Lonchura striata: one gene and its partner. The protein of the gene in region 2 interacts with the protein of the main gene of each other region in a pairwise test. Links are inferred from orthologs where the notes say so. Each region holds a gene or a part of one and is shown on either strand. Other genes may lie near its edges.

The links.
Region 1: the proteins of caspase-10 (region 2) and RIOK3 interact in binary tests that used the Homo sapiens proteins (3 or more experiments, as listed by UniProt). The link is inferred for Lonchura striata from reciprocal best matches to the Homo sapiens genes CASP10 and RIOK3.

Annotation. Positions count from the first base shown.
Region 1 is NC_134603.1:47,147,519-47,159,375, forward strand, and holds the start of RIOK3 (serine/threonine-protein kinase RIO3), read right to left. Parts: upstream 5,057-11,857; 5' UTR 4,969-5,056; coding exon 4,903-4,968; intron 4,129-4,902; coding exon 4,007-4,128; intron 3,194-4,006; coding exon 3,048-3,193; intron 2,924-3,047; coding exon 2,819-2,923; intron 2,285-2,818; coding exon 2,175-2,284; intron 1,461-2,174; coding exon 1,317-1,460; intron 434-1,316; coding exon 306-433; intron 1-305. Other genes in the region: SLC35D4 (UDP-N-acetylglucosamine transporter TMEM241), read left to right, coding at 9,598-9,669.
Region 2 is NC_134610.1:27,085,760-27,097,597, forward strand, and holds the start of caspase-10, read right to left. Parts: upstream 4,790-11,838; 5' UTR 4,470-4,789; intron 3,473-4,469; 5' UTR 3,436-3,472; coding exon 3,122-3,435; intron 2,979-3,121; coding exon 2,879-2,978; intron 2,314-2,878; coding exon 2,178-2,313; intron 1,345-2,177; coding exon 1,256-1,344; intron 1-1,255. UniProt on the Homo sapiens protein: Involved in the activation cascade of caspases responsible for apoptosis execution. Recruited to both Fas- and TNFR-1 receptors in a FADD dependent manner. May participate in the granzyme B apoptotic pathways.

The DNA of each region.
Region 1 (11,857 bases), on a different chromosome or scaffold from region 2:
GCAAAGAATCTCTCAAAAATCTGAAGATTTCTTTTCTATAAAAGGAGTATATATTTTTCCACAGAAAGGCATGGTGGATCTGTCCCCATTCATTAGTAACTTCCAAGGAGGAAAGCAGGGATTCTTTTACTTTATGATTGGTATAATTTGGTTTTCAGATTTTATTATTATCTGCGTATACGCGAATACAGCCTTTAAGTCTCAGAAATAAAAAAGGTGCAGATGTTTAAATATTTTTGTGTTTTCTGCTTTTTAAATCATCTCTCATACTTAAAACAATCATCAGTAACAAACAATATACTCACTTTCCTCCATAGGCATGAAAAACAACAGATTCTTTTCCCGTGCTGATGCAGCCTGTGATGGTCTCCAGCATCCCAGAATTGACCATCTTGTACAGAAGTAAACGTGTTTTAGGATCCACTGCTTTCTCCTACAAGAAATGAATAGGATTAATAAGCAAGACATGAATACTCAATTCAATAAAGCAATTCTTTGCTTTATAATGAGTTTAGAATATTTATATACCACAAGAATTCAACTAAGTGGAAATAATAATGTATTAATAAAATTTATCTCAACTGACAAAGGGGAGAAAAAAAAGCCAAACCAAAATAAACATTTGAAGCAAAGCAAATCTGCTCCAGGATTGATTTAATAATCTTAGTATCTCATCAGCTGTGCAGCACATAGAATATCTTACTAATTGCACATATAGACTGTGGCTCGACAGCACTTTCTACAGTGTTTTCAAGAAGCCTTTACAAATCATGAATCACAATATCCTAAGCATTATATTTCTTTGATATAAGTAACAATAAAGCAAAGCAAAACACACAAATTTGAACAAGTCCACATCAGGAATTACCAGAGGCCCTACTTAAAACTCAGCCATACAGTCTACCAAGTAAACTTCTAAATTATTATGCCAGTTGGTCACCTCATCCTCCTGAACCTTGTTATGAAGACAGATATTTGGAGCCATATGGTTCAACTGCAGGGGATTAGTCCTCTGAATGTTTCTATAAATAACTTCCAGGCAGTTTATTCAACATAGCAGATTAAGAGACAAGTTTAGAAAGACAAAGACAAAAAAACAGTAGCTGCTTGCTCTTACTTCAACATATTTTTCACAGTAATGTAGCTCAAATAGCCTTTTTCTAATAGGAGCTAGCTGATATTATTTCTTTCAGCAACATTAACATAATGTTGCTTAGCTGTTTTACTAAAAATGGAATGTTGCAAGAAGTTTCCCAGCAGCGTTTAGCTATTACACAAGATGAGGAGTAGATCGAGAGACTTGATTAAAAACATACAGCAGTGGAGTGCTCCTTCTTCTCATGGAGCCTTGCACTTCGACGTTCCTCAGAGTATGCATGCTGTTTTAAGGCATTGAAGACTTGATTTGACAGCTTTAAGTCCATTCCAATTCCATCCCCAACTTGGAATTCAGGTGCAAACTATGAGCAGAAATAATAGAAATTTAAGCATTGTTACTAGCAGATGCCAAAAGTTGGCACAAACAAATTTCTCATTCTGATTTGGAAAAACTTGGGATAGATTTGGACCTATGTGAAACCCACTTTGTGCAATGTTGTCACTATGCTTAAAAAACCCACTGCTTTAAACTCAGAACTCAAAGTTCTGCCCAAATTGATATGAGATTACCTAACATCCTGCAAAAGTAGTACTTGCAGCATTACCTTATTTACAGAAGTTGCACCAGTTACTTTAAAAAAGATTAAAGGTATGTACTACAGATAAACAAACTGAAAAGCTGTAAGTCAAGGAATTGACTGAAAATAAGTTACTTGGCTTACCAGAAAAAATTAATTAGAAGAGAGATTGCACAACATCTGTGCTTTTCAAAAATAGCTTTTGTGTTTTATTTGCTTGTGTGACAGACTTGCTGATAGTTTTGTTTTCCCAAGAGAGTTCTGTGCACATTCTTGAATTGCTCAATAACAAACTACTTTTAAAGAGAAAACCCACAAAACTCAAACTGCCAATGTGAATAACCAATAAAGCAAAGAGTGCATTGCTATCATCCAACAGGGAAAAAACAGAAGTCAGCCCCCTACCCAGCAGTACTGGTGGACAAGCATTAGCTCTTTGGCTGAATTGCAGCATTCCAGTTTTACACACAAAATAAGTTTCCTTAAGTTTTCACTTACATTTTCCATGCGAGCAGTGTTTTTTCTTCCACATACCACTTCATCATGTTTCGTAGTAATGTCTTTTCCTTTTCCTATGAAACCCCTTCTTGGTGTAGTAGTAGGTTTATCTGCCCGCAGTGAGAAAAAGAAATCAAACTTTACACCTAAACAAACATAACCAATGCTTACAGAAATCCCACAACATCCACAAAAGTAATATAATTTTATTTATAAAACAGAGTAAATTACTTCAATTATATGATCTTAATACAGTCTTCCTCTATCCTAAGCGTGACAGCTCCTTTGGCTATGTTACAACTTCTCAGTCTTCTATGGGGTGTCAGACCCATTTCTGGCATGCTACAACATGTGCAGAAGATATGTAACTATTTCATCCAAACGTGGATGACAGATGAGCACATCCCACAGTACTTCCCATGTACGCTGGTTATTTTGCCAGATTCAGCCACTGAAGCTAATACACTGGCAGACAGAAGCCTGAAGTTACCCACCCAACCTCCTGCTGACACCTCCCATTGAAGTGACCTGATTTTAAATGTAGCTGGTGTCTCTCCTTACATTAAAACAAGACCTAATTTAACTCTGTCATACTCTCAGGTCTATTGGCTGAAGAAATTCTATTGTTTAAAGCTGTCCCATACCTGCTCTATATGGATCATGACGGGTATCCTGCCAATCAACCTCATCCTCTGAGCTGTCACTGTCATAGGGATGCACCTTCCGATAATTTTCAAAGGATATGGAAACTTGAAAAACAAAACAAATAAGCATGTCTGTGATTATTAGGGATTTGCTACTTCCTCACAGCTCTGTCAATTTAAGGTAAGTGCCAAAAACAGCTCCAAAGCAAAAATATTCTGATGAAGGTACCTTTGCTATCTCCATTGATCTTCTTCTCTTCACGCCGAAGCTGCGCATCATATTCCCTGTCAAATTCCATCTGCAGCATCTGAGCTAGCATTAGATCACTAGAAGTGTCAATATTTTCTCCTGTAATAAATGGTCCTTCAGCAGCGCTACATTAGATAAAAATAGGAATTTTAAAAAAACTAAACACAACAATCTAAGCAGAAACACTGCTTTATACTGCTTTCCCACTCTATACAACAGACTTCATGCAGAGCTGACAGAAAGGAATGGATCTCAGCTGTCTGCCTCCTCTCCAAGCCAACACAAAATATTAATAGATCATTACTTCATTTCTCTTTGCCACTCATTAACAATGTAAATTTTACTTAAACTTTTGCTTGTTTACCATTCTGCAAGAAGCATTAAGCTCTATTTTTAAGATGTTCTTCAGGAAAAAAAAAAAAAGAAGGCATACAGGTGTATGCACGTGTATACTTATTTATATGTTTAAAGCATCCCAAATATTGTTGCCTTGTTCTGCTTCACAGGAAAGATAGTCAAAAATTGTAGAATTTTAGAACTAGTAATCTCTTAGCCTTTGTTTAGAGCTTTCAGGTAGTGGGAAGATACAGGTGATATACCTGACAGTTCTCAAAATAACATTGTATATTGTTGAAAAGAGTTCCTAAAAAAGTAGGAAAAAAACATTTCTCTAAATACAGCTTACAGACTGTGTTAACACCCCCAGAAAATACAAAGAAAACATCAATAAGGAAGGAAGAGCATCAGGGAAGAGAATCTAAGGAAGACTTTTAGCTGAGGAAGCCATCTTCACTGAAGAAAATCTGAGGAAGCAGAGTTAGGGGGAATGGGCAAATCATTTACTATACTGCTATGCACTGAGCACATTGTAAGAAAATGCACAAGAGAGAAGATGGCATCACAACTATGGAGATCACTACTCCAGGACTTAAACTTACGCAACCACTTCAGGAAAAGCAGCATTTTCTTCTTCCAGTTGCAATTCTTTTGCCAGCTCTTCACTCATTACATCAGCAAGAGAACATGATATTGATGTTGTGCTAGGGGCTCCCCACGGACACTGTAAATAAACATTTTATTCAAGTCAGCAAGACTTGTGCAGCGGCAACACAATAATCAGGATTATTAGCTATCGCTGGCTCCAAAATAAGCTCATGTAATCCTGTAAGGGCTCTTCTATAGATACTTGGGGAACTACTCAAAGAGTAGTTTCATAAACTCAATCGGGAGAACCGGCGTTGAAAAATTGTTGATAGTCACTTACTAATGAAGGAAAAAAAGTCAGTTTGTCAGTGTCGGTACCCTCTGGAGACAGGGGTAAAGTTTCCCCAAGAGGTTTGCAAACAAACAGACACACAACCTATGTAAACTTCTCTTGGAATGCCCAACAGCAATGGCTTACGCACTGCTTCCTCCCCCGCTCCCAGAGCGCTGAAAGGTCAGCCACCGTAAAACATGGCATCTCAAAGCCGCACAGGGATACAACAGCTCGCTCGGGAGGCGGGGGCTGGGGAACGGCAAATCCAAGCAAGCCGGGACTCGCTGCCTACCGCCAGGATAACCGAGCTCACCCGGCTCCAACTCCCTCGGAGGGAAGCAACTCAGTTACCGGGCTGGCACAACAGCTCTCTCCACCAGGGAGCTCATTGCCGGCAGCAGCAAACCGCGCTGGGGTCGCTCTGCCGAGTGACCGCCACCCTGGTGGTGCCGGCACCACCTCGAGCGCCCTCCCCACGGCCCCAGCGATCCTCCTCCTCCTCCTCCTCCTCGTCGTCCAGCTCCCGGAGCGCGGGCAGCGTCGGGCGCGGCCCCGCGGCGCCGGCACTGCGCTCACCTTGCTCTGCCAGGCGGGGCCCGGCCCGGCGTCGGGCGCGGCGGCAGCGACTCCCACCGCGTCCATCGGGCACGCAGCGGCGGGCGGCAGGAGCGGCGTCTCTCCGCGACTGCGGAGCCTTCCGGGTCCTCCGCGGGTCCCCGCGGCCGGCAGGCGGCCCATTGGCCGGGGCTGGCCCGCCTTTCCGGTGATGTCACCGGGCGGCCGCGCCGCGCCGGCGGAGCCCCGTGCGGAGCCGCGCCCGGCCGCCCCTGCCCGGCGGCTGAGGGGCAGCGCCGGGCTGCGAAAGGGAGAAATTTAATAGCTGACGCTGGTTTTTTATCTCGGGAAGTAACCAAGGGAACCAAGGGTGGGAGGGAAAAAAAAAAAAAACAAAAACAACCAACCAAACCAAACAGTAAACCAGCGGCAAAACAAATGGATGGAATCCAGAGAAGGGTAACGGAACTGTGAAGGGCCTGGAGCACAAGTCTGATAAAGAGCGGCTGAGGGGCTGGGGGTCTTTAGCCTGGAGAAAAGTTGGCTCAGGGGTGACCTTATGGCTCTCTACAACCACTTGAACGGAGGGTGTGAGCAGCTGGGGTCGGCATCTTCTCCCAGACAACAAGTAACAGGACCAGTGGACATAGCGTTAAGCTGCGCCAGGGGAGGTTTAGATTGGACATTAGGAAGAGTTTCTTCACCGACAGGGCGATTAGATTGGAGTGAACTGCCCAGGGAGGTGATGAAGTCACCGTTCCTGGAGGTGTTTAAGGAAAGACTGGATGTGGCACTCATTGCCATGCTCTAGTCCACTTGGTGTTTGGTCATAGATTGGACTCAGTCTCAGAGGTCTTTTCCAACCTAATTGACTATGTGAAATGAAATACTTAGCATTTGTTTTTATTTCAGGAAGTAACTGAGGGAACAGGAGAAAATACAACTAATTAACCAAACCATAAGCAAACAAATTAATCTGATCCCAATTCTGTAAGTCACTGTAGATCCAAATTTAAATACTTTGTATGTGACCTGCTGCCTTTTATATCTCAATTTTATATGTAATGTTTATCTGGAAAACAGTATTGTGACTAAAATGACCTATTTCCAGGACAGCAATGAAATTATAGTTTTGCTATGACATATTAGGTCTACTTGGGCAAGTTTCCGTAAAGGAAGGAAGCAATACCTAGAAATCTCCTCTGGCTGGTTTATCACCATCTGTTGAAGGTATCTGTCTGCAGTCAGACAAATGCGCTGTCACTGTTGATAATCTGAAAACCAGCCTAGGAAAGCTGCACTTCTGCAAGGGCAGAAGTGGTAAGGGATTCTGTGGTAAGGAATCCCCCAGCCTGCTCAGAGTAAGTTCCCTGTTTTACATCTAGCAAAGCCTGTACTGCCAGGCAGGCCCAGTAAGGCCACTCATATCAGTTCTCAGCCATGCAAGAATCAGCTTTGTTGGCCAAAGTTCCTCTTATTTGTCCTTAGCAACCTGCAATGACGTAACACGTTATGATCTCCTAAGACAGTTGGTTCCAGAGTTCACTACAACAGAAAGTTCCCAGCTAAAAGACATACCATTTGGAAGAGGGTAGGGACCTAGGTTGTAACACACAACCTGCAGGCATGACACAGGCTTGTGCCACGAAGGCATTTTAGGATCATAGAATTATTTAGGTTGTAAAAGACCTTTAAGATTGTCAGGTCAATGACACACAGCACTGCTAAATGCTGGCAAGAGTGGCTTTGTCTGGTGACACAGTACCAGCATGTTTCTTACCCTCTCTGCACTTTTCACCCTGGTGAAAAGAGATTATTTTGTTCCCTTTGCAACTGCCTTTTGGCATATGAAGATTACTGCATGATCCCTTCTATCTTCTTGGTCTAAAATTAACAGTTTTATATATGAGCAGAATATCAAAGCAATGTCCTGCTGCCCTGGTTAAAATCATTATTCTTGCACAGCTGTACAAGCACTGATTAAGAAAATGGGTTTTGGTAGGTTTTGATTCAGAAAGACACGAACAGTAACTATATATTCCTATGTCTTGTTATTAAGCTTTTAGTTTTCAAAAATAAGTTTTCTATTTTAGTCTCTTAAATATTTCCTGATTAGGACATGATCCCATGACCTCTCATGTGAATAGATCAAGCTTTGAACTGAATTGTGTTAAGAAATTTATAGAAATTTACCTCTTCATTCTTAATCCCTCAGTGTAAGTGGTGTACAAGAATTCATACCTGCCTCTGTATTTGGCTGTAAGAAAATATATCATTGCCCAAGATGATATATATGTCCCACTTCTACTAAGAAATACTGCAAAAAGCTCAGACATATCACTGTAATATTTTGCATGAAAGTGATAGCCCACTGTAATAAAATGTCAAAAGTACTCTTACTGCATACTTATATTAGTCTTTGTAGATATCCATGAACTTTACTTACTCTTTTTTAAAGCTTTACAGGCTGAATTTGTGGCACAATGCAAAGTGTGCCTTTGTTTGCCAAATACACATTTCACATTTGTACATAAACAAGTGCTCTCAGGTGCTCTCACTTTGTACATAAACAGATGCACAGTGGAAATTCTGTATCCCTGACATCTCTAACACATCCATTACAGTGTCTTATCAGTGATCTCCATGAACCTGGATGGACCAAACATTTCAGCACTGGAAATCGAATGTCTTTGTTGGACCACCACCTTACAAACCAGATAGGATGATGTCTGATTCACCAAAACACTTGAATTTATCTTGGTCAGCTGTTCAGCTGTTGCACTCTGTTGACCTTGTCTTTTGAGGCTAAATGCAGCAGGTTAGACAGGCTCATCTTACGGCCTGGATTTGACCACTTAGTGCCTCCCTCCCTCCCTAGTTTAAGCCATGCTCATAAACAATTCCTTACTTATGCTGCTTTGCTCTGTCCTCTAAAAAGAGGGTGTACATGTACAGAGAGAGCCCCATACTTTGTGTTACCTGAGCAAAGTCAAGGTAAGAACTGCAAAGATAGGGCCTTGCTAAATCCAGGACTGGGAAAAACAAGGCTTACCTAGGCCGTAATAAAAGATCACCCAGTAACCATGACCTGACAGGGCGTGTCTTTCACTGCTTCTGACCTGCCTGGGATATTTACGGTTCACACGTCACCAGTGAATCATAGAATCATAGAAGGTAGGAAGGGGCCATTCAATTTAGCCATCTAGTCCAGCCCCCCTGCAATAAGCAGGGGCTTCTTCTCATGAGTGTGAGTGGGGTCTTCAGACAAAACTTAGTAGAGATCCCTCCCATTGAGCCATGATGTGCAGACAGGACTCCCTTGCTTTCTAAATTCCTTCTCAGAGAAGAGCCAAGGTGCAGCTGGATCCAATCTTAGCCTCAGACTGTTGGTGATTTAAGTTTAAGAAATTATAGAGGTGTGATTGAACCTTTGTACAGCTTTGTCCTGTAGGATAAATTATGGAAAACCAGATCTATTTATATAAAAATGATTCATTATGGTAAATTATTAGACAAAGAGATCTTACTCAGAATTATTTACTACACACTATAGAAGATAAAACTACTAGAATAGGATGGCACAGTGCACTCTATCAAAGCAACTATATTAAAGCAATTCTATTAAAACTAGCAAAAAAGAAATAGTTTTTAAAGCAGAGAAGGATGTCTTTCACCCATGTCAATGACCATGGGCAAAATCTTTTTCACTCACTCAGCCTTAAGGAGTAATTTTTGGGTGTCCCAACCCAAAGGAGGAATCTTCATACACACTTCAAGAAGGGATATGTTTGAAGAACCCAACCATAAGAAAATGGACTGGACTTTTATAGTGTGCAGTGACTGACTACCAGTCATATATCTCCAAGTCAGCTAAGCACCTTGTCTGCTAAATCTTTACCTCACTGTCAGGATATTAATTTGGGTTGATGTGTCAGTCTAGTGTTGTCATAATTCAACACCAAAACCATCTTGATGCCTTCTCTCAGTCCACCACTGGACTGATAGCCTTGTAAATAGGGCATTGATGAAGTTGCTTGACCACATTCCAAGGCAGGGCATCCTGCTAAACGTCTTTAGCTAGATCAGGTCCAGTCTGGCTTTGACCGCTTCTAAGGATGGTGTATCCACAACCAGTTCTAGCATCTCACCACACTCACCGTAAAAAACATCTTCCTTACATCTAGTCTAAATTCGCCCTCTTTCAGTTTAAAGCTATTCTCCCCTCCCCCCCCCCCCCCCCCCCTCCGCCACATTCCCATGTAAAAAGTCCCTTTGCAGCTCTCTTGCAGGTCCCCTTTAAGCACTAAAAGCTGGTGTAAGGTCCCTCCGGACTGAACATCCCGAACTCCCTCAGCCTGACTCCCCAGGAGCCGTGCTCCAGCCCCCTGATGATCTTTGCGTCCCTCCTCTGCACTTGCTTCTACAGGTCTTCCCCGTGCCGAGTGCCTCGGAGCTGGACGCAGCACTCCAGGGGCGTCTCACAAGGGCAGAGGAGAGGGGACAATGTCCTCCCTGCCCGGCCGGCCGCGTTTGGCCGCTGCCGCCGGGGCCGCGCGGTGCCCGGGCTGCGGCGCTCCGGCCGCTCCGGCCGGCGGGGCGCGGCGCGGCCGCCGGGCGGCAGCAGCGGCCCCGCGGGGGCGGCGCCCGCGGAGCGACGTGTCCGCGGCCCGGCCGATGGCCGCCCCCGCCCGCCGCGCTCCGCGCCCGCGCTGACGGATGTATTTGAAGAGGCCGGCGGGCGGCCTCGCCTTCTGCCTCTTCTACCTGGCCTCCAGCTTCACCAACAAGGTGAGCGCGGGCGCGGGGCCGCCCCGGTCTCGGGCGGGCCGGGCGGGACGCAGGGAGGTGCGGGGGCGCTGGCTGCCGGTCCGCGGCTGCGGGAGCGGGGCGCGAGGGAAGTGCAGGGATCCAGGAGAAGGAGGAGAGACGGTGCCCTGAGCTCTCCCTGCCCTGCTCAGGGACAGCCGCAGGACCAGCCCCTCCCGGACGAGGCTGCCCCGCGAGTGAAAAAGTCCGTGGCACTCCAGCCCGCCGCCCATCCCAGTGTGCTTCCGAAACTGTGGATAGGGTGCCGGTTTCGTTTTGCTCAGTGTGTGACAGCTTTACCCTTCCACGTCAGATAAGTCCCATTACAGTCTTGTTTAGGAGAGCGAGGAGGTTGGCATCACATCATTCCAATGAATGAAGTGTTATAGAGCCAGAAGTTCTGCTGCACTGAAAGTATCGCTGATGCTGTATATATTTCATTATCGGGTGTCTGGCAGCTGCATTCATTCCCAAAAGAATGCAGTTAACTGTTAACTGGAACAGTGATATCAACTTTCCAAGTGTGAAATATTCAAAGTATTGTTTCAGAAGTTAAACAAATATTAACTTCCATTGACAACTTAATTAACCGACAAATTAAGGACAAGAATTTTTTTTTTCCACTGTGTAACAATTTCATATTAGTGTTGCTGAAGTGTCTAAGCGTAAGAAGTAGGCTGAAGATGGCCACATTGTGAATAAAATTGTATAATTTAAGCATAAGCTTGAAAGTATTTTTTTCACTCTAGGAGGAGTAGATAGATTAACTGCTCTGTGCTATCCTATTTGTCAGAGTGTGTGTCTGTATTTCTGGTGCAGATTTCTGAAAGAAAAAAAATATTGGTGAAGCAATCAGGGTATAAATATTCTGAGGGAGGATTAGAGAAAATCAGCATTTCAGAGGTGAAAATGAAATCTTTTCTAGGCATTGGCTAGTGGTTTCTGTTTCAGGATAGACTTGCCATTAAGGATGCTCAGAAGAAGACTGAAGTCCAGACATGAAGCAAAGTTGTAGGGAGAAATAATGCACTTGATTTGACAGACTGCTGGTAGCTGTGATTAGTTTAATGGAAGGGGGCTAAAAGAGCTGCCAGGTTGCATCATGGCTTAACTATGCTTGAGAGGAGGTCATGGGGACATTGACATAAGGCCTCCATTTTACCTTCATGTAGTTTTTAGTGTAATAAAGTTAAAAATAACCAGAATATAGACCTTTCAGTTGTTGAAGGTGGCGTGCAAATGCAAGCAGGAGTACAGACATGTGTGAGTAGATCATCCTGATTTAAAATGCACATGGCAGTTCTGACAGGTGTATGTGTAAAAAGACCTGTTGTGAATCAACATGCTTTGTCTCTCTATACTGACGCCAGCTTTTTAGTGACACCCCACAAACCTAAAAACTGGACCTTGCAAGGTGTTCAGCAGAGTTTGCTCTTTGCTGAAAGAGCAAACTTCTCAGCTTCTCCTTTTGCCCTTGACAGCTTCTGCTGGCTCCTGGAAGGAACAGCAGGTACCTTTCATTTTCTCTGAGGAAGCTTCAATCATTCTTCTCCTTTGCAGAAGTGATATTTATATACTTCATCATGGGAAGTTGTTAGACCTGGAAAGCATGTATTTGTGCCTCACATTTGCATATATACATATTTAGTGTGAAGAGACATTGACACCCATACGTACAGGCCCAGACAAAGGAGGCTAAAGCAATGACACAGATTTTGCTTTTTACCTGCATGTATTACATCTCTGATGGGCTTTATGGACTGCTTAAAATTCTACACAAAACAGTGTGTAAGCAGAATGTTAAGTCTGTAAGATACATTAGCCATAAGAAGACAATTATGTTTAGACTATTGCTCTTGGTTCTGCCAAAGATTTGCTTCATTGGTATGGTATTATTTTAATTGACTGGTGCTTATGGCATTTTGTTCCTGTCAATCCTTTTCCATTCAGTGTGAAGTATGGACTGTGTTCAGAAAATGAAAGTGCAATTCAGATGACAGCCTTTTCCATTGTTCAGTGTGTCCACTCCATGCCTCATGTACTTTAGTGCTTGTTACTTTCCACCGTGGCTGAGGCAGTATCCAGCAGTTCTGGCATGGGAAGTGCCGCAAGTGAGTGGTTTAAGTCACTCGGAGAATCACCAGAAAAGGGATGGGCAAAAGCAGATCTA
Region 2 (11,838 bases):
AGCACATTGTCACCATCCTGTCAAACTGCAGAAGAAGGATTTAGCATCTGGGTTCTCATCTGTATGCAAGAGGCAGGATTTAGCAGCCAAACTCTGAGTTTGGTGACGGGGACAGAAGACCCCAACTGCTTCCAATGCCAAAAACAGTATTTCAGCTTAATAGCAGAGAGATCACACTGAAACTATGGGAAGTTAGACATCTGAGTTGGCTTTTTTTTGAGAACGGTAATAAATACCTGGACTAGGTGATTCATACTGATCCACTGGAAAAGGATGGAAGCAGAACAGCAATCTCAGAAGTACATAAACCTATCACACTACAAGTTTTTTGGTTAAGATTTAAAATTACCTCCCACTTTTAAAAAGAAAACAAAACCAAAAGCATTTTTAAAGCTGAAAAGAACCAACATTTCAAGTAACATGAATTTAAGTCCAACCTTGGGTTGCAATAAAAAACTCCATCCACCAGAGTCCCTTCCTCCTCACTAGAGAGCAATACACACCTCCTTTTGTGCATTTTAGTAGGAGAAAATGAAGGAAGCACTCCAAGTTCCTTCAACAGCTTTGCAGCAGTCTGAACATCAGGTGATGAAAAGATGTTACAGCACAGAACTTCAAGAAATTAAATGGCTATAAACAAATGGAGCAACTTGCTTTTTCAATATCCATGGTCGTCACAAAGAAAAGGCCAGAGGGAGAATTCAATGGTTACACTGCTATGGTTAAAGAGTGCACATAAAGGCCTGTAAGAGGGGATCTCACAAAAAGGATCTTTTCTCATATACCAAGACCTCTGCAATAGCTTACTAAAAACTCTGGCCTCCTTTTAATCCTTCTAACAAAGGCTTTGCATGCTACCCCTTATGACTTCTAATTTCAAGATGCCCTGAGGCTGTTTTGAAACCAGATGCAAAAAGTGAGAACTGTGAAACTCCATTTGTCTCTGTGTCTTGCACGTTCTACTGCCATCACCAAAATGCAAAATGTTTTGCCTTTATCAGGAAGATAAACACTGATGTGTGAATCACTTCAGAGGTATTATGTCCATTTTGCCTACAAGATACCTTTCAATATTGCTAAATCTCTGGCCTCCAAGGTTAAAATATTCTTTGAAACATTCAAATTTATCAGTCAACTCAAGAAACTTTATGAGCCTGATATTTCACAAGCCCTTGCATGATAAATGTCATTCAAGGGAGGATGAAAACCTCACACCCGCAGGTATTCAAAAAGGATTTAAGAGATTGTCTCAAACCTTGGGTTCATTTTCTACATTGCTGAATTCTCCACGCAGCTCCAGGTTTAGCTCAGAGAAGCTTTGTGTAAAATTAGTTTTCTTGTTATCTAGAAAAAACCCCAGCATAGGTATTTATGAAGATAAATCCAATATTTGTGGATGCAACAAAAAGGAGTTTAGCTACAATACATCACTTTTTGTATTTGAAATACTCTTTCACTGAAAGAAATAATTATTCCATACAAAATAGCATGGTCATGTTCAATAGATCTATTCTGATATTCTAGATCTATTTTTTGCTTATTTTTATTAGATGTATTTTTGTAACAAAGGCAAGGCTTCTATTTGTATCGATACTGCAAATTAAAGATACCCATGGTACAAGGATAAATTCTCCAAGACATTCAAATAAATTTTTCATCTGGAAATCATCTTAGAAATTACCAGTATTTAAAAAGAATATGCCTTCTTACTACTGAAGTTGTCAATTTTTCTCATTAATCAATAATAAATCTATTTTTTAAAAATATAAAACCATAAATAATTTGTTTGCTCATAGCCCATGTATCAGACACACATAAACCCACACAGTGTGTCTTGCCAGATTCACATTCACAGATCCCCAAGTGCCTTTTACAGGACAGTTGTCATCATCTCAATACTATTAGTGGGGAAATGGACAAATGAGACATAACTATCAGCAGATTTTCAGTTTCCCACCCTGTTCTGTATGTGCTCTGGGTTGCTCAGATATTCCAGCACATCCCTTTATTTCAGGGATTCAGCTAGGAAATTATGCAGGCTTGGAGTTGTTATGCCAGATTTATGCCACTCTAGCTCCCATTTAGCAATACACACATATGACCTTAAGTTCAGTAGCCCAGACCCATAGTACTTCCTGCATTTTAGCAAACCTGCTCCTAGACAATCAATTTCTCACCTTTTCCCTTTTTGTAGCAGTTTATTGTCTCCAGGAGATCAGGTGAAACAGTCATACAGACCTCCTCCAGTATCTTTACATTGTCTGTAGTTAAAAGGCCCTGCTTTTCCAATAAAGTCAGCAAATCCAAAGCAGACTGACAGCCAAAAGGAGAGAGTAAAATATAATTATTGTTCTTTAGAAATCAAAGCTTGCCTCTCAGCCCTGTCTCAAACAATCACATTATTATCTGCTTTGCTCCCTACCAACAAGGACCAGTCAATTTTACATCACCATTACAGCAGAAATGTTGCTTCATGGAAGCCACTGGTTGTGTTTTTATTTGGTATGGTCTTGTTTAAACAGATTCACCCAAACCGTATTAATGGCTCGTGGCTTCAAGAAGGCTTCAATGCTGTGAAACTACCAATGACATATGGACATCAATCTCCCTTGCATATGGCTCAAGCAGGGCAAAGATTTGATTTGTCACCTTTTTATACTCTGATGCTAGACAGTGAACTGTCAGTGACTGACCTTAGCACGAGGGACCAAATTCTACTCTTGCCTGTCAACATCTTCCTTCCTGCTATCCCTATGAATACAACCAGCCTAGTTGCATATTATGCTCTATTCTGCCAAACACTGCTCACACTTTTTCTTCTATTTCCTGCCTTCCTTCTTCCCTTCCCACCATTTGGCTCATTTGACTCCTCACATACAGGAATTATCCATCCCTTTGGAAGATGGTTTTGCAGGAGGAAAATTATTTCCTTCAACATGTCACTGGTGATGTTCTCTGCCAATTCATACAGCATCTGCCTGTAACAGAGACAGAGTGAGATAAAAGTGGAACAGAAGATGGCATAAAAACCAAAGGCAATCTAAGAATTTAAAAATGGAAAAGAAAACAGTATGGCATAGATAGCAGTAATGGAGGGAAGAGAATTCCACTGCAAGCTTACCTGTATGGAGATATTCTTCCCTTCTCACTCAGATGTTCTTGTACTTTCTCCTTGGTGTAACCAATTTTCTTGAGCAAGGAGTGACATCTAATTCTATATAAGAGTTCAGCTAGTAGGAAAGTATCTTCTGCATTCAGATATTCTTGAGCCATAAGGAGCTTGAAGATGTCTGTTGCTAACTTCACACCTTCTAGTCTACTGAGGTGGAGCAAGTCAGTACAGAGAAATTTTAAAGCTGCTACATCTTCAGTCACCAGACTTTCACTAATAAGAAAAAGCTGCTGATGGAACTTCAAGCTGATATTATTCTCCATGTTGCTGGAACCAACAGCTGAAACAGCTTCTCTCTGACTGAAAGCAGAAAGCAAACACTAGTAACACTTAAATCTTCAATACAGCAATCCTTCTACTAAAATTTTATCCAATGGTTGTTTGGAAGCCCTGAATTATCTTTTAATAAATAAAGGTTTTAAATAAATTTGAAATTTACTTCCTTGTCTAAACACAGAACACAGAAAGACCAGATCTGGCAGAAGCTCTAAACAACCCGGTCTATAATTGAAGTTAGCCCTGCTCTGAGCAAAAAACTGTGCAAGATGACCTCAAGGTCTGAATCTTCTTTTCTTTTGAACATCTTCCACATTCAGATCTTTGCGTCTTTCTGTTGTAATGGGGAAGAGTCCCTGCAGTAACTTATTACAACTATTAATGGAGACAGCACAGTAGTTTGTGCATATTCCTTGATCTGCAGTCCAAGAGCTTGTTCTCTGGCTGTACCAGGAAGGTGTTCCTCTGTTACAAGGCTGACACCCAAACAGAAGCTGTGGAATAACCATCCACTCCCAGCTGTAATTTGCTTCCGGATTGTATTTGACAGTTGGCATAGAAAACCCCTTATAAGCCTCCCTTACAAGTAACTGGCAGTTAAAATGTAATAGCACTCAATGCTCAGTCTAAATAGGCTCTGCACAAGCAACTCTCTCTTACTCAGGTTTAACAGAGACTAATCGACTTTCTACTACACCGACTTCTTCCATGGAGCCTAGGCAGTTCAATTCTGCCCGTGGAAGGTTAAATAGATAAGAAGGTGCTCCAGTGCCTTCTAACTGGTAGATCTTCAATTTTTTGCTTATAGCAATTAGAAGCAAAGGTTTCTACAAGGGGGAGCACAATCAGTGCAGGATCTGCTCGCTGCCCAGGCTTGGAGCGGCTCACCCGCATATCCACAGCTGCCTCGGGGCATCGACACAGAAAAGTAACCAGTCCGCATCTCTGATGTATGCTTTCAGATATCGCCTCAGAAAAGGAAAATCGTATGAAATAAGCAGGATAGGAATTGTAAAATTACCTTTGCTTTAAGCTTTGTATCTGGCCGGAGCAGTGCCCCGCGGGTTAAGCCCGAGGCAAGGCGGAGCGCGCGAACCGCAGCCGGGCCCGCCGGCGCACGTGGGCAGGAGCGCCCCGAGGAGCGCGCAGCCGGGAGCCACCGCACAACGCGAGCGACGGAGCCTTCCTGCGAGCCCTCTCCCCTTCAGCCCCACGCTCTGGTACCTCTCACACGAGTTCCAGTCCCGATCCCTCTCCCGGCAGCTAGCCGTGCCGGCGGCTCGCGGCTCCCTGCGCGGGCCCTTCTGCGGCTCGCCGCGGGCGGGGGAGGCGTGTCCCGGCTCTGCCCGAGCAGGCGGCGGGAGGCAGCGCCAGCAGCAGGGCGGAATGTGGGAGTGGGGAGTGCGAGGGAAGGAGCGGGCCGCGGCTGCCAGGGCCCGCGAGGCTTCCACCAGGAGCGGCGGCACCGCCCCCTCCCGCCCTGCCGCGCCCGGGAACGGGAAAAGCCTTCAGGCAGCGCCCGGGGTACGAAGTGTAAGACGTGACCCGTAATTCGCCTCGCTTTTGCTGCCAAGCCATGTTAAAGCAGGCTACATCGCAAAAAGGCCTCGAACGTTTTAGGCACATTATTTGAATGTTTGTTTCCCGCTGGAAGGAAGCTTGAAGAGGAGCGCTTGCGGGAGAGGGCTGCAACACCATTTGTACGTGGGGCTGCGTGTCCGTGTCCGCAGCAGTAGAGGGAGGAGGAGGAAGGTGAGCAGACTCTGCTCAGTGCAGGCTCCTTGGGGCCTTCAGCATCTGTATCCCCCACAACCTCGCGTCAGTGGAGGCAGGATGAAAAGTGTCTCCTTGTTCATGCCAAAAGTTGTCCAACACACCGAGAGCAGCTGAGTTACCTGCTGAAACTGTAAGTCTTGCTGTCCTTTATTATGTCAGCTCGTTTTTATAGAACTGTAAACTTCACAGCCTAATTTAACAAGTTATATAGGTCTGCAAGATAAACAGACCAAGAATTTCAGAGTTATCCTATGGCCTAGAGGGAGACAGGGACAATCAGTCTGACTGCATACAGAAATTTTATTCAGAATATCACCATGAAACTGAGCATTTGTATCCAGTCATAGTGTCTTATTATTGTTTCTAATACAGAAGCTGAAAAATAGACATAATTTAAACCAGCCACAGAAAAGCTGTCAAATAATTCAGTACAGGAGATTTAATTTAAATTGAATATAGATCAACCACACAGACAGCAATACTCCTCAGCAATACTGTTCTGCATGTCAGAAACTTAAAACTCTGGAAAACAGAAAATAATTCTCAGAAACTCCCATAAAAAGCTTCTCTGACTCAGGTATATGTAATAGGAGCCACTGTTACTTCTTATGCAGAGTTGAAAGGGGAGATCAGCCATACAACATGCTCCATCTACAAGTTATACCACAGTAACATCCTCTTGAATATAAATTCTATTTTGGATAATGAGCTCAATTTACGGCTCAGCCACATCAGTGTAGGTGGCTGAGAAAAACCATGCAACTCAAGTCTGGTACAAAACACCACTGAATCTCTTGCCTCTTGCATACAGCTTCTGAGCCACTTAAAGACATCACCTTCTATATATGGAGCACATACAGAACTACAAGAAATTTTCTTCCAGTTATCAGAAACCAAAACTGTAATTAAGTGCCAAAGCATTGACTCTGACAGCCTTATTCCAACCTCTGACAATGCAGGAGCAGCGTAACTTGTTTTATCTCCTCCAACAGTATGTTCTGAAAATTAGACATTTTGGCAGTCCAAGACCACGAAATTTCACCAGCTGTATTGAAGATTTAAGTGTTACTAGTGTTTGCTTTCTGCTTTCTCTATGTTCCTGTGCTAACACCTTAAACTCATGATGGATCCAAAATTCTCTCCCCCTTTTTCTTTTGGCTAAAGGATCATTTAACCTGAGATCATTTCACTACCTGCAGTACAGGGACAGCTTGATGCAGTCCACACCCCGCATCCGTTTCTAGACTCAAATTTTATGTGTGCACTACAGCAAGAAGAGACAGGACCCCTCATGTGTATGGAGGGACACAGAAACCTGGTAAGGGTTTTGGAGTGGAGGCCCTCTGAGGAGGGGTTGAGCTCACTTGGCTTGTTCAGCCTGGGGAGGAAGAGGGGAGACCTCACTGCAGTCTTCAACATCCTCATGAAGGGAAGCAAAGGGGCAGAGGTATCAACCACTTGTCTCTGGTGACCACTGACAGGACTTGAGAAATGAAACTGTGTCACGGGAGGGTTAGGGTAGAATTTAGGAAGAGGTTCTTCAATTCTTCATCCAGAGGGTGGCTGGGCACTGGAACAGGCTCCCCAGGGAAGTGGTCACAGCACCAACCCTGACAGAGCTGAAGAAGCTTTTGGAGAACACTCTTAGGCACATGGCGGGATTCTTGGGGTGTCCTGTGCAGGGCCAGGAGTTGGACTCTATGATCCTGATGGGTCCCTTCTAACTCAGCTTATTCTATGAGTCTGTGATCCTATAAGCTATGGGAGAAGTGACAGAAGAGCCATCACAGAAGTCCTGCATAAATACTCACTATGCAGCAGGTACAGGGGATCAGCTTGCTTGAACACCACACTTGAAAGAGGTGCCAAGGCAATAAATACTGCTTAGATGAATGATTATAGATTGCGTATGGCTACGTTTGGGAATCTACAGAGGATCAGTGTAAAAAATCAGTATCTGACACCCATGAATGCTGCACAATACATGTCTATCCCCACAACTCTAGAGGATTATAACCACTTCCAACCAAGCAGCCATGCACAGTGTCCCTTCCTTTTCCACTGAAAGGGTTAATTACATGAGCCTCTAGTTTTCAAAACAGCATTTCTGCATAATTTATTAATGAAAGGGACATGGACTTACTGTCTTGCAGTAAGGCAAAGAACATATATACTTCTTAACCCCCAAACCAAATTTGTCACAAAACTGTAAAAGCAGAATCTATTCTACTACTAATATCTTAAGTAAACAGTTGCATTTAGCATCACTCTAAACCCCCCAACCAACCAGCCCACAAAACATCAACCAACTCACCACATCATTAGAGTCTGTAAAGACAACCACTATTATTCTCACTTCCTTTTTCCCGTTTTCTTCTCCTTCCAATATTGATACTGTATTTCTCATCCAAATCATCTACTTGTTCTTCTCTTGATGCTCCCTACCATTCCCCTTCTTGTTCCTGCTTAAAATTTTCACATTTCTTTTCCTCATCTGCCTCCTGTTGATTCCATTCTCTCTGCTTTTGGTTGTCTATGGGGTAGCAGAAGTGCTTGTCAAATGCAAAAGCTAGTAAAGGAAATGGGAAAGTGAAGTTAATCTGTGAAGAAGATCACATATATTAATATTACTTAGATATATGAAATTTGAAATGACAGCATATTTCTACAAGCACAGGAAACATTTGTTTTACCATTTAGTTTATCTACCAACCACCAGAGGAAGTACCTCCTAAGATTCCACATCTGTCATTCTGTATCCTTCCTTTTTTCCATTAAAAATTTAAACAGAAACCAAGCAAAGCACAGCAGGACCTTGAATTATTTTCCCGCATAGGAGTATATTAGGAGTAAAAATTAAATATTTACAAGTGGCCTACTTTATTGTCACTAAGTTCAGTGACAATAAACTTCAATACAACCCATCCAGGTTATACTGTTATACAAGTAGGCTAACTGAACTTTAAGGCAGTTAACTTTTAGTTAAGCAACTGCTACATTGGAGAAAAAGCTTTGTAATTAGGACAATTTTCCCTTTTCTTTTTTCACAAGAACAAGAGCACTTGGGAAAAAAATGAGTTAATAGAGGCATATTCTTTTTCACAAGCAAATGCGGTAAGGGCGGGGTGTTTAACATAATCCAGTTTTAAAGGCCCATGGCTGCTACATACTACATTTAAGTTGAAATATTTTAAAGTCTCTTTTTACAACTATGCCTGGTACAATGAGTGTGAATCATGTTTCAGCTTCCACAAGACATCTGCCAAAATCTCACATTTTTTTAACTGTGTGGCAGATTACTGTAATGTCCTGTCACATGTAGACTCATTTTGCATCAGCAGAAAACATACTTGGCCCAAAGATGGCAGACTGTCTCATTTATTAACACAGAACCCCCATGTGCTGTGGACAGTTCTAACAATGCAATCTTTAATACAGCAAACAGATGGAATCCAGATTATTGAAAAGACCATCTTTCTCTCCCTTCTGTTTTGCCAGTCTATAGAGGCATGCAAGCCAGAACTTGTTAGCAAAGATCTGGCATTACTGGGTAGGAATGCTTTCCTCAGACATTTGCCACTACTAGGTGCAGGGGAAAGTAATCAATGTGTTTCAGTGGTTTGGGCTGGCTTTTTATTATTTAAGTATTAACTGCTAGAAGGTATGTTAAAAACTACAAATGAAGCAATAAAAATATTTTGTTTTTTCTTGGAAAACCCAACAGCTATACAGTTTAGATCTCTTTACACTCTGTTTACCCGGGGTATTCAGTAACAAGGTATGTTGCACTGCTATACAATAGCTACTATTCTCAACCAAGCTTTCAGAGACTACAGTATTAAAATACAAAATCTAGTGTCTTAGCACACTAAAATGCTTGTAAATTCCTGTGTTTGGCAGCAACAGGCACTTTTGATATACATGAAATAACACATAAATAAAAGTATGGAATCCTGATTACTGAAAAGGGGGAGATCTCTCTCTCCCTTCTGTTTTGACAGTCTATAGAGGCATGCAAGCCAGAATTTGTCAGCAAAGTTCTGGCATTACTGGGTACTTCTTGTTAATAATTTCAGATATGTACTTTCTAACAGCAGTTAAGTGGGGAAAAAAAGTTTCTTCCTCAGTGTGTGCTGGAGCAGCAGTGAGTATTGTTGGCTTGGGTCAACGGTCATATTCCCATCATAAACTTTTTTGTTCAGTTCCATATGGATAGCCAATATACAGCGTTTCCTGCAGCAAAAAAATCAAAAGCATTCCATTAGAGAATGAAGCAAGACACCATTTAAGAATTCACAAGAGAGAAGATAACTTCAGACTCAGCATGGAGAAAGTTTGTAATTTCAGTCTCTACTGCAGAGGTAAAATCTCTAACACACAAGGCTGTACACACACACAAATTTTGAGACAAACTTTTATGACCCAAATCATTGCTGTGACATTGATTATGCTGACATGATGATCTGTGGTTTCATGACAGGGCTTTAGGGCTTGTAAAAAGGTACTAAATGTTAGCACTGTAACTACCTTGAATAACAGTTGTTAGCTCCCTGGTAGATCAGCTATATAAATAAAAACTTTGTTGGTAAGTTATAAAATCTTTGTTGCTAAGTTATATATCCAAATGCCTCTGAGTTTTGCACAGATTCGTTTGGATCTCTTTAATAGACAAAAGTTTTCTGTCAGTTTAAATTCAAGATTACCTATTGGAAATCAATTGGCTCTGTGAAAAAATGGTTAATTAAATTTGGAAATGTAGAAAATCCTTCCCTCTCTACTGCCTTTGTCCTGAACTTAAGTACTGACTGTTTACATTTGCAAGCACAGCTCATCTTAATGGTACATGGCAATCCTCAATTTAACAGAAGCCTGTTTATCTTGGAGAAGGAAGATTTCCAATCCCATCTAAAGCACTGACATACATTATCTAGGACAGGTTCTTCCCTTCTTACTCTGCAAACCCCAATGCCTTAACACACTTTAACTTTATACTGCAAAATCAGAAATTTCATTCCTAGTTTAGGCTACCTTTCTACACAATTTTATGAGGATACTTGTCTTTTGACTATGACACTGCAAGAAAACATATTTCAGGGCCAGATGGTTTGAAATTTAAGGTTTCTCATTCTCCATGAAAATAAGCTAGCATAGAAAAAGGATGATTTTTTTTACTCTTACTTTAATTTACCTTTTATAAGGATTATGGAGTAGCTCAGCCAGACAACGCAGATAATATGAGGATGAAGTTGAGGATCGTTCTAGTTTAGACACATCCACTTTGCAATGACTCCAAAAGATGTCTGCTGCTTGGGGAATCGTGACTTTAGAACTGATATTCTCAGCATTCCCATCAACTTCTGACAGACTGGTATATTCTTGCTCATTTTCTGGCACAACATAGCTCTGAATAAAAAAAAGCTTCGGTTTTCCTAGGAGTCCAGGACATGAGTCTGCTGTAAAGTATTTCTTTATTTGTTCCAAAGGGAATCCAGAAAAGGTGTGGTCCGTACAGAAGATGCTCTGAGAGTTTCCACGGCTGACCAATATGCAAACGAAGCTGTCACAATATTTGTGCTTCTGCCACCTTGCAACTTCAAGCAATTTTTGATTCATGGAGTTCATATTTAAATACCTGTGACAATGAACATCATAGCCTAAGCCTCTGAAGGTCTTTTCCAACACATCTGAAAGAAGCAAGATGTAATTAAACCAAGGTACACCAAATCTCAATCTCATCTATATTGAGTTACAGTACTTAGGAGTGTTTTTCTATTGAAACTAAGTAGTTTATTTTATCACAATAATTAAAAATCAGGAGCACTTGGTGTTGATCACAGTACATTACATACTTATAGTGCTATATGCATGTTGTCTTTCCTGTAAGCTACATGTTTCATGGCAGCAGAGACACTGTTTCACATTCCACAGACACTTACATGCTTTCCTTTAGGGCCAGTATTCCAAGTTCCTAAGACTTCAAATACAAGGCAAGAAAAAACACGCTTGAAATTATAAAGAATGATCTGGACAGCATAGGAAGTCTGTTTCACCTTTTAATTTGTCAAAATTACCTTGAATGGTTATTATAGATACACAGAACTGCATAAGAAATACAGAGGTTCTCTTTCATCAGTCAAAAAGGAACCTGCTGCAGTACTTTTTGCTTCCTAAAATTTTAAGTGACAAGCTCCAGGTGAAGAATGGACACTGGAGTCTTAACTGGGACAGAATGGCCTTTTCAGGCAAAGAAGAAAGCTGAATAATGAACTCTTTCAATTGAGTTAGACATTTGTAGGTAGCCAAACCCCAAGACCTAACTCTTACTGTATTTGTGTTAACCTGTGCTGCAGGAAAATGTGTAAAGATCTGAATGTTTCTTAATATGGGACTGGAACCAGATACATGGTGGTTAAAACCACAGGTATGAAGTGTTCAGAGCACCACAAGCTACTACGACGACTTACAGCTGTAGCATTGTATATTTAATATAAAACACACATACATTGCCCATGGACAGCTTCTGGTAGGAAAAGATTTGTCAAGTGCCATGTTTATGTAAAATGCCTTACACACATAGGAAACTTACCCACAGCTGTCTTTGACTTCAAAAGTTT